Linked DNA regions of Anolis sagrei. The protein of the gene in region 1 binds, or shares a complex with, the protein of each later gene. Links are inferred from orthologs where the notes say so. Each region holds a gene or a part of one and is shown in the gene's direction. Other genes may lie near its edges.

Evidence for each region. Proteins that work in one complex are often made in the same cells at the same time.
Region 2: CDHR5 (region 1) and MYO7B share a complex: the UniProt entries of both Homo sapiens proteins name them as parts of the IMAC/intermicrovillar adhesion complex. The link is inferred for Anolis sagrei from reciprocal best matches to the Homo sapiens genes CDHR5 and MYO7B.

Annotation. Positions count from the first base shown.
Region 1 is NC_090021.1:240,588,379-240,596,287, reverse strand, and holds the start of CDHR5 (cadherin-related family member 5), read left to right. Parts: upstream 1-4,896; coding exon 4,897-4,975; intron 4,976-6,340; coding exon 6,341-6,522; intron 6,523-7,909. UniProt on the Homo sapiens protein: Intermicrovillar adhesion molecule that forms, via its extracellular domain, calcium-dependent heterophilic complexes with CDHR2 on adjacent microvilli. Thereby, controls the packing of microvilli at the apical membrane of epithelial cells.
Region 2 is NC_090023.1:221,037,932-221,044,891, reverse strand, and holds the start of MYO7B (unconventional myosin-VIIb), read left to right. Parts: upstream 1-3,944; 5' UTR 3,945-4,218; intron 4,219-6,246; 5' UTR 6,247-6,342; intron 6,343-6,960. UniProt on the Homo sapiens protein: Myosins are actin-based motor molecules with ATPase activity. Their highly divergent tails are presumed to bind to membranous compartments, which would be moved relative to actin filaments.

The DNA of each region.
Region 1 (7,909 bases):
ACACTTCTGCCTCTTTTCAATTAAGAAGAGCTATGCATGATGGCCAGAAATAGTTTAACACATGTGATGAGTTCTGTACCTCTCCATGTTTGAAAAGAGGCTGAAGTGTCCTACGAGGGGGAAATTTCTCAATGTGATAAGGAGTAGACTACAAGCTAAACATGAGTCAACAGTATGATGTGGCAGCTAAAAAAACCCTATATAATTCTAAACTGCATCAATAGGAACATAGTGCCTATGTCAAATGAAATAATAGAACTACTCTATTCTGCTTTGGTCAGATCTCACCTGGAATATTGTGTTTAGTTCTGGGCACTATAGTTCAAGAAGGATATTAACAAGCTGAAATGTGACTCGGGCAACTAAAATGCTCAAAAATTTGGAAACCAAGCCCTATGAGGAGCAGCTTAAGGAGCTGGGTATGTTTCGCTTTGGAGAAAAGAAATCTGGGAGGAGACATGATAGTGCCATGTTTAAATATGTGAAAGGATGTCACATTGAGGAGAGGACAAACTAGTTTTCTGTTGCTCTGGAGACTAGGACACAGAGCAATGTGCTCAAATTGCAGGGAAAGAGATTCCAGCTAAACATTAGGAAGAACTCTCTGATGATAAGAAGAACTGTTCAGCAATGGAATATGTCATCCCAGGTCTGGTGGAGTCCCCTTTTATGAGGTTTTTAAGCAGAGGCTAGCTGGCCATCTGTTTGGAGTGCTTTGATTGTGGGTTCCTGTATGGCAGGGGGCTGGATTGCATGACCCTTGTGGCCTCTTCAAATTGTATGATTTTATTATACCATCTGACATTTACATAGGGATTAGATCAATCCTACAGAGATGTCCCAGATGAGGGTCATTTGAGACTTTCAAGGTGGTCTGGACTTGGATTTTGTGGAAAATATTAGACCTATATAGAGACATGGACGCACTGCAAGCAACCACCCACTAGAGGGCTTCAATAGTCTAATTTTAGGCACAGCCACTTGCATTTTCATTAGTTCATCACTGCAGTATCAATCAAGTAGTGACTTGGGTCCAAACTTCACAGTGTATCTCACTTCACAGAGTGCTGGAAAGCAGGAAATGCAAATAAAGCCTTCCTTTATCTTTCAAAACTTGTTTTCACCCAGCTGCTTTCTCTCACTCACAGAAAAATGTGATGAATAATTTTTCCCTGCAGGTGAGAAAGTAGTTTGGGGTCTGGGATTTTGAGCCATCTTGTATACAAATAGTTAATAATTTTGACTAAACAACAACAACAACGGATTAAGCATTCAAACCACTACACTGAACTGGATGAATGCAAATACTCCATAACAGTATCAGTCTATCATAACTTGGTTTGCACCCTTCCAAATCTTGGGCACCTTCCAGATGCATTGGACTCAAGTGCCTATTATCCAGTTGAGCAGGCCAGTAACCATGAGGCCAGTAACCATGCTGGCTGAGAGTGACGGGGACTGCAGTCAAACCACATCTGGGGGATGTCAGGTTGGGAAGGTTACAGTTGACTGCCAATGTGGGTTACATTAAGAAACATTCAACATGTGCTCCAAAACTTTAAGATGTTGGCACAGTATGAAAGTAACAGGCGTAGGCTATAACAGGGGTTGCCACAAGTTAAAGTGCAACTACAAAATACTGAGAGCATTTATCTCAGGAAAAACATTTGCTATGAGGAATGTGGAATCTCCAAGGGAAGGGGATTTTCTGCCACAGTGAGAGATCAAAGCAGCAATCCAAATGACCTTTATATACTATTCTGAGAGCCTTTCTGGAGAAGCTTTTTCTTTCCCCCACAAACACCTCATTCCATAATTTCAAAGCATTTTGTAGTTATTTAATTTTGCAATTTAGACACAGATTTAGATTTCCATCCAAGAAAATTTATTTTTTAAAATAAAACGAAACTACAGAAAAGCAGAATCACATCCACATCATAACTAAAGAAATTAAGAAACCCAGTGATTTTTTTCATGGCTACACACTGTCTAATGCAGGGGTCCTCAAACTCTAAGATCATTTACCCGGCCCTTGCTCAGAGTCAGCCTAAGTCTGAAACGACTCGAAAGCACATAACAACAACAACAACAGCAATTCCTATCTCATCAGCCAAAAGTGGGTCCACACTTCCCATTGAAATACTAATAATTTTATATTTGTTAAAATTGTTCTTCATTTTAATTACTGTATTGTTTTAAGTGTTTTTTGCACTACAAATAAGATATGTGCAGTGTGCGTAGGAATTCATTCATTTTTTTAAAAAATTATAATCCGGCCCTCCAACAGTTTGAGGGACTGTGACCTGGCCCTCTGTTTAAAAAGTTTGAGGACCCCTGGTCTAATGACTGATGGTATATATAATATTTTATAATTGAGTCGCCTGAGGGCTGAGAAGGGGGGGTATACAAATATAGTAAATAAATACATACATATAAAAGACATTCATTATAACTTCTGCATCAGAATTTTGAAAAACCAATCCTGAACTTTTGAAGTGGAAAAAAATGCCAAAACCTTTATCTCCAAGAGTTTTGTCTTTTTGCTGGAAATTATTTGCACTAACTTTACAGGTGAATGTGGTGAAACCACTCAGTTCATGCCCAGATTTTTATTCATTGTTATTAATAATTCTTAAATCCCAGGGCTCAGCTGGGGACTTAAAACCTTCCCAAATTTCTTTTTTTTAAAAAAATTGAAATATATCATCCAATTTTTACATATCCTCTTTTTCATATACACAAGAATGTTTATTGTTTCCATATTATCCAGTTCATTGTGTAAAATATAATGTAATAGACTAAAATTTTAAACATTACTTCCAGGAAATGTTTTGAAGGGTTCCCAGACTTTCTTGAACATTGAAGGATCCTTTATTTGAAGCTATTTTGTCAAAATGTTGATTTCCACTATTTCAGCTACTTTTACTATCCATTCTTTCATTTTTGGAGTTTCTTCTAGGTTTCCACTTCCAAAGACATACAATTCTTGCTGCAGTTGTCATCAGAATGAAAAGTTTGTCATACGTCTTCAAAGTAATCAATCTATTATGCCTGTTATCCCTAGGGTATAGGGTTACAGCCTGTGCTGGATGGGGTCGCACTCCCCTTGAAGGCGCAGGTTCGCAGCTTGGGTGTGATCCTGGATTCATCGCTGAGCCTGGAGCCCCAGGTCTCGGTGGTGACCAGGGGAGCATTCGCACAGCTTAGGCTTGTGCGCCAGCTGCGCCCGTATCTTGGGAAGTCTGACTTGGCCACGGTAGTCCACGCTCTGGTTACATCCCGCTTAGACTACTGCAACGCTCTCTACGTGGGGTTGCCTTTGAAGACGGCCCGGAAGCTCCAACTGGTCCAACGTGCGGCAGCCATGACACTAACAGGAGCGGGATGTAGGGAGCATACAACCCCCCTGCTGTACCAGCTCCACTGGCTGCCGATCTGCTACCGAGCTCAATTCAAGGTGCTGGCATTGGCCTATAAAGCCCTAAATGGTTCCGGCCCAAAATACCTAACTGACCGCCTCTCGGCCTATGAGCCCTCGAAGACTTTGAGATCTTCCGGGGAGGCCCTGCTCTCGATTCCACCTGCCTCACAGGCACGGCTGGTGGGGACGAGAGATAGGGCCTTCTCGGTGGCGGCTCCTCGGCTGTGGAACACCCTTCCCGTGGACATCAGGCTAGCCCCCTCCCTGCTAATATTCCGCAGGAAGCTAAAGACCTGGCTATTTAAGAAGGCATTTGATCAATAGTGCAATGACTGGCAATTGACCATAGGAATGGAACACCGGAAATGAGATCGGATTGTGGCTTGACGATGAGACGATTCGGAATGTAGTAATAATTTTGTTAAGATGTTTTTATGATTATGATGAATTGTACACTGTTTTGCACTATGCTCTGTAGATTGCACTTGTTTTTGTCATGTTGTACACCGCAATGAGTCGCCCTTGGGGGCTGAGAATTGCGGTATATAAGCGCAGTAAATAAATAAATAAATAATAGTAAGTAGGGTTGTGCTTTCAGGGTAAATCTTGACTCGTTTCGTGTCCTGGCTTTCAGTGGCGGCCCCGATCAGTTTTTGGGAGCTTCCCGAAATCAGGAGGGCAGATATTTGTTTTCGCTCGGGGTGCTGAAAGATCTGTTTTCTATCAGCCCATTATTGGGGGGGGGGCTTCCCAGGCTCCCCCTCCTGTCATTTTAGACATTACTCTAGAGGAAAGGTGCTCAGCTGCATGCAGGTGCATACCTTAAGGAAACTTCTTACCTGTTTCTACACTAGAAGAGAGGCACTCAGTTCCAAGCAGGCACGGGCGCTTTCTGGCCATAATTTTGGCCCCCAAACTTGCCTTTGACTTACATGTGAGGTATGTGTATATATGGTAAGTCTCCCTGAATGCAGTGGACTAAGTAGACATTTGAAGTGGTGATAGTTTCAAGATATTTTTCTGCCCAAGTCAGAACTGCAAATGGTATCTCTCACTTACCAAAGCCAAAATGCATCCTGCCCAACCAAGGCAAACCACACACCGCATAACCATATCTTTTTGTTTCAGCAAAACACAATGAACCTCTATCACCCTTCCATGATACCCAAAATACGTAGCCCAAGGCAGCTACTCACTCTGGGCAGGGACTGCCTCTGCAATGTAAGAACAACCCAGTCTCCAAGGTAAGACAAAGTACTTTCCACTGAGCCAGTCACTGATGAGTGATGGTAAATAAGTCATAAATAAGTGAGTCAATAAACCAAGATGCAAAGGTTAAACTCCTCTGTTAGCAAAGTACTATTTGCAGCATTACGGTACTTCCTGATGGAAGAGTGAAAGGACGATTCATGATGATAATAAATGAAGACCGCTTTTCTTAGATTTTGGATTCCTCCCCTCCCTCCACCAGTGTGATGGCTCTTTTCATTCAGCTCTGCACCTGTATGGTCTTTGTCTTGGTATCTGTACTTCATGTCCAAGGACAGAGCGCATGTAAGTATGCCTGGGAGACAGGAGCAAATACTGACTCAGGGTTAATTGTTAAAAACAACACAAGAGGGATAGTTGTTTGGATACACCCATAGAGGAACAAAAGGCATAGATATTTTCAATATATGGATTGCCTAAATAGCCTAAAAGCACCAAATCCTGTCTGATCTTGGAAGTTAAACAGGACCTGGTTAGTCTTTGGATGGGAGACTATCAAAACTACCAGGTGAATTAGGTTAGCGTATATTTTGAAGGAAGGAATTGGCAAACCACCTCTAAGTATTTTTCGCCTAAGAAAACCCTATGAAGTTCATGGTGTTGTAATAAATTGACCAGAAAACTGAATGGACACCTAAATATACTTTAAATACGTAGCACTAGCTTATAGATGCTTATTTCAAATTAAACTCCCACAGAGTTTCGTGGAGTTTTCTCTTCTATAAGCATGAACAGAAGCGCAGCAAGAACACTAAAATACATTGTATATTTCAAGAAGAGATCTTGCCTGGGGAAGAATCAGTATTATGTTTCCAATATGCTAGCAAAGTTTTTTTTGTCAGAACAATGAACTTTTGACAATATGTAAAGAGATTCAAGCCAACAGAAATAATAATATTAACACAGGTACTAGTACTAATTTAAAAAATGCTCTACTTTATAATATTATCTAATTCAGGCAATTAATTCTAAATTAACAATATGAATGGGAATAATTTTACATAGTGTCTGGAATAGGGAATTCAATATCTAAATTTAATATGGGATTAGATGTACCTCAAATTACAAAGGTGTATACTTGATAAAGGCACAGGAAAAGATTTTGAATGATGAAAGGCCAAACATTGGCATGTCCCCAGTCTAGATATCAGATAAAATATTATTATTTGGATGTATCTCTTGCATATCTGCTTATTGCCATGTTATATGAAATGTCCTATAAAGCATTTGTACGTTGTTGTTGTTGCTACTGCTGTTGTGTGCTTCCAAATTGTTTCTAACTTATGGTGATCCTTTAATGAGGTTTTCTGGGGCTGAAGGTGGGTTTCAGAAGCTGCACAGGGAACTGAACCTGGTCTCCAGAGCCTCCAGCGCTCAAACTGCAATAACAGAAGGTACCTTGTGGGCCATCCAGTCCAACCCCTTGCCAAGAAACAGGAAAATTGCATTCAAACCACCCCCAACAGATGGCCCTGAGAATGCCACACTGGTTCTCACTTGTTGCCAATAAAATATTAAATTAAAGTATAAAACTCTAGTTTTAAATTAAAGTATAAAATTCTAAGTCAGTCGATACTGGCAGATATGAATGATTCTGTTGAGTTAGACTGCACTTCCAGAGACATGAAATCTTTCCTTTTGTTTCACTAGACTGTTCTGTGGAGAATGCCAGTCCTAGTATTGAGGAGAACAATGCTCCTGGAGTCGTGGTCACCAACATTACGACAGCTGCTGGTGTCACTGTAACAATTGCCCCGGCATCAGACACAAACCCTGAGTGGTTTGACATAAAAGACTCACAACTTATCCTGAAATATTCAGTGGATTATGAGGTAAATGACAGAGTGGGGATTAATGGCACAGTAAGATGTGGTTAGCTGTTTATCGAGAAAAGCCATTGCTTATGTTCCTATGAATATAAAGACAGTATGAAGTGGATCGATACAGTCCAGCCAAAGTCTAAATACACCTAAAAGCTTAGTGTTATCAGAGTGAAAAATGGAAACAGTTTCTGCTCCTATAAGGATTGTGGAGAAGAGGGAATTTGAGCAGGTATTGCTTGTCATGCAACTTGGTAACTTACTTACTTAGGCAATCCCTCGTTGTCTGGGATCGATGGACTGGCGGTGGGTCCATAGGTGACTGTGGAGCCCTATTCTTTATCTGCGTGTTCTCCCGCAGCGAGGGCATTGGTTTCCAGGTGGAAAGCGGTCCTGGTTGTGGTTGGCTTGATGTGCCTTCCTCTTGGCACGTTTCTCTCTTTCACCCTCCATTGGTGCCTCTTTAAATTCTACAGCACTGCTGCTCACAGCTGACCTCCAGCTGGAGCACTAAACGGCCAGGGCTTCCCAGTTCTCAGTGTCTATGCCAGAGTGTTTAAGGTTGGCCTTGAGCCCATCTTTAAATCTCTTTTCCTGTCCACAAACATTCCGTTTTCCGTTCTTGAGTTCAGAGTAGAGCAACTGCTTTGAGAGATGGTGGCCGGGCATCCAGACAACGTGGCCGGTCCAGTGGAGTTGATGACAGAGGACCATCGCTTCAATGCTGGTGGCCTTTGCTTCTTCCAGCACGCTGACATTTGTCCACTTGTCTTCCCAAGAGATTTGCAGAATTTTTTTTGGAGGCAACGCTGATGGAATCATTCTAGGAGTTGCATGTGATGTCTGTAGATAGTCAAAGTCTTGCAGGCATATAGCAGGGTTGGGAGGATAATAGCTTTATAAACAAGCACCTTGGTATCCCTACAGATGTCCCAGTCTTCAAACACTCTGTGCTTCATTCGGAAAAATGCTGCACTCGCAGAGCTCAGGCGGTGTTGCATTTCACTGTCAATGTTGACTTTTGTGGAGAGGTGGCTGCCAAGGTAGCGGAAATGGTCAACATTTTCTAATGTTACACTATTAAGCTGAATTTCTGGCATTGAAGAGGGATTATCTGGTGACTGCGGGAAGAGTACTTTGGTTTTCTCGATGCTCAATGACAGGCTGAGGTTCTTGTATGCTTCTGTGAAGGTGTTTAGAATGGCTTGTAGGTCTTCTTCTGAATGTGCACAGATGACATTGTCATCAGCATATTCTATAACAGATGTTGTTGTTGTTGTAACCTTGCTTTGTAACCTGGTAACTGACTGAAATTTCCTCTTCGACTCAGCAAATGGTGACATCTCATTTTTTAAAATCTAGTAACCCTAGTTCTTGCGTATTGATAATATTAGTAGAA
Region 2 (6,960 bases), on another chromosome or scaffold:
ATATGGCAGGGTAGACTAATATAATCCAATTCAAAGCAAATAATCTGGATTTTATATATTGTACCAGTGTGAGTGGGGCATGAGGCCCTTTCTAAACAGTATCTGCTTTGAACAAATATATGGCAGTGTGGACCCAGGGTGCCAAATGGTGATGGGTCCTCACCAAACTACAAAACCTCAGAATCTCATAGCATTGAGCCATGACAGTTATTGGGCCCTTTCATACAGACCTATATCCCAGAATATCAAGGCAGAAAATCCCACAATATCTGCTTTCTGTCTCGATATTCTGTGATATAGGGCTGTGTGGAAGGGCCCTGGGTTATCTGAGTCCACACTGCCATATATTCCAGTTCAAAGGAGATAATGTTGAGATCGGGGGTGACCCCCCCCCCCCCCCCCGCAGACTCTGTTAAATATAGTTCAAAATCAGGGAGTTAATAGTTTTGCCAAGGATACCAGGCTGGAATGATCCCATAATCCCTTATCTCCCCCCATGTGGGAACCTAAGGTTTTTTTCCTATGGCCCCACATGGCAAGGCCTCTGTAACCCAAACTTTATGAACTTCTTCCAACTTCTATAAACTTTGGGAACTTTTATCAACTTTTGAAGACTTTTAAGACTTTTAGGAATTTCCATGGACTCTTTGTCAAATCCCTATGAACTGTGAACTCTTATTAACTCTTTTTACCAACTTTTCCAAACTTATGTGAACTTCAATGGACTTTGGGGGGCTGATGTGATTTTCCCTTAGACCCTGCATGATTCCCCCCCCCTTCCTATGAATTCTTTGTATATTCCCCTACCCATTCCCATACCTTATGTGTAAGTATGTCTGTATTTTGAAAAATGAAGGCAAAGTCATCTTCATGAATCCAGCGCCCCATGGCTCCAGGAAGCTTTCCCAATTTTCTGAGCCAGTAAATCTTTTGACAAAGGACTCAACCAAAATTCATTTGCATGAACAATAAATAAATGGTTCTTAGACCTATGGACATCTGAATCACCCAACACAAAGGGTGTCTTCCTGTCTGCGAGGAATTAGGATTTCACCACAGGCTTTTCCATTGTGCCAACCCAACTGGCCGAAACCAGCCTCAATCTTCATCAATGGATCCCATACCCAGGAAGGAAGAAAACAAAGAATCTAGCCCCCTGAGCTACACAAAGATGTAAATTCAAAAGATTAAAACAATAACCCTGGCTAGGCTTGAGAGCCTAAAGGTCTTCGCCCAGCCATTTAGCAAACACTGGTCATCTTAATCCAGTCAACTAGACACTTCTTCATTGTTTCCCTGTTGCCCACCTCCCTTCCACCTCATTGGCTGAGAGGCCAAAGAAGGGCTCAGGCCACCATTGGCTCTCCTGCTGACTTGCTGACGTCACAGTCTATCATAGCAAAGCCAGCTCGGAAGGGGGGAGAGGGGTGGGCATGGAAACTTTTGAATCTGAAGGCTATAAATATACCTTTTTGCCCAGTGGGCACGTCGATTTTGTTCACAGATTATTACAATCGTCATCCTTTCCAGCTGGAATGAAATAAAAACCTCAATGGCTTTCTCTTCAACTTGGGGAGATTTATTCTGTAATAATGACTTCTCTTTCTCACCAGGCAACCCACAATGGCATGGGCCTATCCACAGCCATTCTAAATTGCTCGACAACAATGTGGGATTTTATTCAGCTGTGTGGAAGGGTCTTATGTAATCCTGTGAGTTGTAATTTTAGCAAGGTCTTTTGCCTTCCTTGCCAAACAGAATTGATGCCTCACCAAACTATGGATCCCAAAGAGAGTTGGTGCCTAATCAAACTATGGTTCCCATGCTATGGAATCCATAGTTTGGTAAGGCACCAACTCTCTTTGTTTTAGTATTTGGGATAGGTTTTATGACTATGTTTTAAATGGCATTGAATCTTGCTGGAGTTGTAAGCCACCTTGAGTACCCTTACGGGGGTGAGAAAGGTAGGGTATAAAGGAAGCAAATAAATAAATGTTCTTCGGTTGGTAAGACACATGCAACAGAATCTGTATTTTTTGGATCAAGTTTCACTTTGACCAAATCTATTAATCTATGGAAATGTTTCAGGATATCCACTTCCCATTTACAACTACATGGAAAAGAATAATTTCTATTTCCATCTGGAAAGGAATAATTTTGCCAGAAATCCCAGGACAACTTCTCCTAGAAACTTTGCTATACACGTTGAAAAGCCCAAGAGACAAGATGGATCAGAAAGTGGTTTTGCTGTGAGAATTATTATACAAGAATTCCTGTATGAAACCAATGCTTTTGCACCTTTTTCTGAGGAATAATTGGACTCACACCTTCTACCAGGCATCTCAGAAAACCATGTGAGGTTTTAATTAAGTCCTGTAGTGTTTTACCACAGTACGATAGATCTTAGTTATTTTTTTATATTAATCCTCACATCTGAGATTCATTTGACATGTCCTTCACCTTTCATAGAAAGCACCAAAACAGATGAATATACATGAAAGTGTGTTGTTTTTGTACCAGTCAGAGGCAGGGGCTCACAGGTGCCTCTGCAACAAGAAATGGGGGGTGCTTTTCAGACAGGATACTATTTTCTGCCTTGTGCTTCCTCTACCTAGCTGCCTACGTGATACGGCAATCTAGATGCTTAAATATTTACATAACAAAATTGGGACATGACTTGTACAAGAATACAAATACTAATATTACAGAATTCTGATTTCTTTTTAAAAGATATTTTTTATTATTTTATCATGGTTAAATACATTTGTTATACATTGTTTGTTTTACAGCAGATACATATTATTCAATACAACCTACCAAACATTTGGCATCTAGTTTTATTTTTCTGCTTATACATATTATCTATCCCTCACCACTGTGCTCGCCCCCCCCCCCCCCCCCAAGCCACAGCTTTTACATATCATCTGTCCAACATTTCAATTCTTCTTGTGGAAGTAACTTTCCTTCTTTATTTTTTAACCCTTTTTCAATAAATTTTCTCCATACATCATCAAAATCACTTTGTTTCCTCTTTTAAGTTTTAATATACATGTCAGGTTATCATTTATTGCCAATTTCCATACTTCCTTGTACCACTCCTCTATTTGTATATTTATTTCTTTTTTCCAGTTCCTTGCTATAAGCAGTCTTGCTACTGTTAATAAATTTGTTATCGCTTCTTTAACCTCTTTTTTCAATTGTTTATTATTATATAATGATAATAAAACTATACTAGGACTTCTTTCTGTTTTAATATTCATTATATCTTCTATTTCTCTAAATACTTTCCCCCAAAATTATTTACATATTTACATTGCCACCACATATGTATATATGTTCCTGATTTTTGACATCCTCTCCAGCAATTTTTTAAATAGTTTTTATTTATATTTGCTATTCTTACTGGTGTTAGGTACCATTTTCATATTAACTTATAATAATTTTCTTTAACCTGAATTGATAAATTTTTTTAGATGTCTTTGTCTCCATAATTGTTGCCACTCTGTTCACTTATTTTTATCCCTAAATCTTCTTCCCAGACCTCCTTGAGGATGTTATTTTTTGTTTTTCCTTTCTTTATTTCAATTATTATCTTACATATTTACTAGTTATTCCTTTCAAATTTTCATGCTCCTCTACAACCCTTCCATTTTGTATTATTTGTTCAAATTGGTTAAGCTTACTTCCGTTTTTATTATTTTTTCCCCAGTTTTTAAACTATTGTTCTAATTGTATACAAAGGAACCATGTCAATTTTATTTCTCTAAATTCTTCCATAATCATTTCCTTCTTCATTCCAGAATTCTGATTTCAAATGTGCTGTATAGTGGCATAAATTTAGCGGAGTTATAACACAGTAACCTCAACTTAAGTCTAATCATTTTAATAATGATTCTTATTTCAAAGAGCAATGTGATGAATGTAGAAGTGTATCTAAACATATTTTGGTTGTTTTGATTATGTCTCTGTTTGGATTGGTACAAAATAGCACACAGTGTCTGCTTTTAAGATGTTATTGGCCGGATCCCAAATAGAAGGATGGATGTCACTTAAATCCTAATGAGATTGCACCGCAGGGAAGAATGACCTACCTCATAACACCCAGAGTAGGAAGTGCCACCTTGGTAGTTTGTGTGGGTGTCCACGAATTATTGGGCTTTTATTTTCACTGCCGCACAAATGAGTTAAGATGTTAAGAAAAACTGGGGGAATTTGTTGGTATGTATTGCTGTCTTACTCTTTTCCCACGTCATAAGCATTTTTAATTTAGCTGTAGTTTTCAGTGACTTTGCAAAACAAATCTGCTTAGGTAAAGAAGTGATTAAGTGGGAAGTTGAAGGATGCACATGGTACATAATGTAAAGTTAGCATGTCGCTTTTTGGGCTTTTTTATTTAGAATTGTACAAATTCAGGGATATAGAATTACAGTCAAAGCTGATGTAAATTGTTATTCATCCTGCGTTACATGCAAGAAAAGTCATGTTGTAAATTTTCTTGAAGAAGAAAACAGTATAAGTGCATATGCTCCATAAGCTCTTTTATCACAGATGGCAAACTATTAATTAAGAAGTTGCTGGGAAGCTGTATGTTCATAACAAACTCCAGTGTAGCAGGATTAATGTCATTTGGCATTAACAGTTCAACACACGCATTACTAACATCTGTTCATTGCTATTGATCTTCATAACCTGTGTGTTAGAAAGTGGCTTGCATTAACTTGCTTGCACTCCAACCTGATGCTCCAAGACATATTTTATATGCAAATTTGTCTTTAATTAATCAATAATTTTAATTAATCAAAAACTCTTAGAAATTTGACTATATGCAATATACTAGTTGTCAGTTGTATAGGACTTAATATACAGATGATATGTTCTTGTATTCATAATGGATTTTAATTAAGGCTGTTTATTGATTTTAAAAGGAGTTAATTAATAGTATTTGTTTCAACAAGTAGACATTTATGATACTACACTTAGTCAAGAAAAACGACATGCCATCTTGTTAGCTGGTCCTTTGTGCTTTTCGTATATGATGGGGTTGGACTGGATGGCCTGTGTGGTGTCTTGAATCTCTATAATTCATAGAATCTCTATGATTCTATGATAGACACCTGGCTTGAAAATGGTATATGTGAAAAGGATATTCTGTGGCAGTCTTGGATAATAAGGTGAATATTTCAGATAAATAAATATGACTCAACACTGTGTGATGTGGGGTCTCAAATGCTATAGTAACCTAGGCTGCATCAATAGGAGCCTGCACAACATATGGCCTGCGAGCCAGATGCCTCCCTCCAGGGACTTTCTTGCAGCCTGCACAAGGCAGGCAGGGGAAGGGCCATTCCAATTAGGCAGGCCGCAAAAGGGCTGACCAGTGAACCCCAACTCCTTCTCCAACCTCATGCCTTTTCCAAGTATTGGGAACCGGCTTCCCCTTCCTGGTCGCCCCTTCCTCTGAAATATGCATAAAAGACAATTGAATTGAAATTGGTTTATTTCTCAGTGTCAGCCAATATGCTGACAGTAGGCAAGTTTTTCTGAACCTTTGTCTGAGGCAGAGAACGTGGCTCACTCAAGACAACCATTTATCAATATCTAGGTTTTGCACTCAGTGTTGTTTAAGTATGCAGTTTCTAATGCTACTTATTAAACATTCTCATTGGTTGTTTTATAATTTTATGATTTCTGTACTAAGTGGTACAAACTTGAATGCATTTTCAGGTTTTCTTATTGTTAATTAGCAAAGTAATCTTTTTTTGCAATAATTTGATTTCAGAATAAATAAAAAGATTACATAAGTTTAATTAATGAATATTAATTGAAACTTCCCCTTTAATAATATGGTTTATTTACACTATAGTTTATTAATTAATTATACATTTATTTGGAAAATGAGGTGCTAAAAACCTATCTGTGGTCCAAAATTGTTTGACCTATTCTAATTTCGGCTCCTTATTATTGCCAGGTTGTGCAAGCCTGGTTTAGATCAATAGAAGTAACAGTCCCACTCTATTCTAGTTTGGTCTTAAATGATGTCTAGTAGGTGCCATTTTACATTCTCGCAGTGTTCCAGTGAACATGATATTATGAGAAATCAAAATGTTGGGTGAACACAGGAAATAGGTGTTTTGTGAGGCTCGAGGATTCACAACATTCTCCAGTAAGCCCTGCAAAAGTCCTGGGACCCTGAGTGCCACCCAAGAATGCCTGGTGCTGATCCTGGGCCTGCTTTTTGGTTTTCAGGTGATACATGCATCCCATCAGGCATATCTCAGAAAAGGAAGTCCTTCCTGTGTGTGGGAAGAGGAATGTTTCTTCCAAGAAGGCACCCATGGATGTGTAAGCACTTACCTTAAAATTATTTTCATTTTTTTAAACTGCTGTATCAGGAGCAATATGTGGTTTGTTGATCAACTGATAAATTAGTGATCTATGTTTCTATCTACACACACGCATATACATATACATACTTGAGTCAATTCAAAGCTGAATTCCTGCTATTCAACTACATTTCACCAAAATATTAGCATTTCCCTTGACTTTTCTCAAAGTCAGAAGGCATTATTATAACTACTTTGCCTACAGTCAGAACAATCTCTTAGCTTCCTTGAGGACCCTTCCACACAGCCCTATATCGCTGAATATCAAGGCAGAAAATCCCACAATATCTGCTTTGAACTGCTTTGAACCCACATTCAGATAATGTGGGATTTTCTGCCTCGATATTCTGGAATATAAGGCTGTGTGGAAGGACCTTTGGTTGCACCATCATCAATGTATGTCTATCATATTGCAGACCTTGGGTTTTCCTAGGAAATCCAGAATAAAGTCTGTTTTCAAAATTCACATCAAAGGCATCTAAAACCATTTTTGTTTTGGAAAGGAAGAACATTGTGCGTTCAATAGCACTAGCACTGAGGTAAGATCAAGATATTTTGCTGGTGTATATCCAGCAAA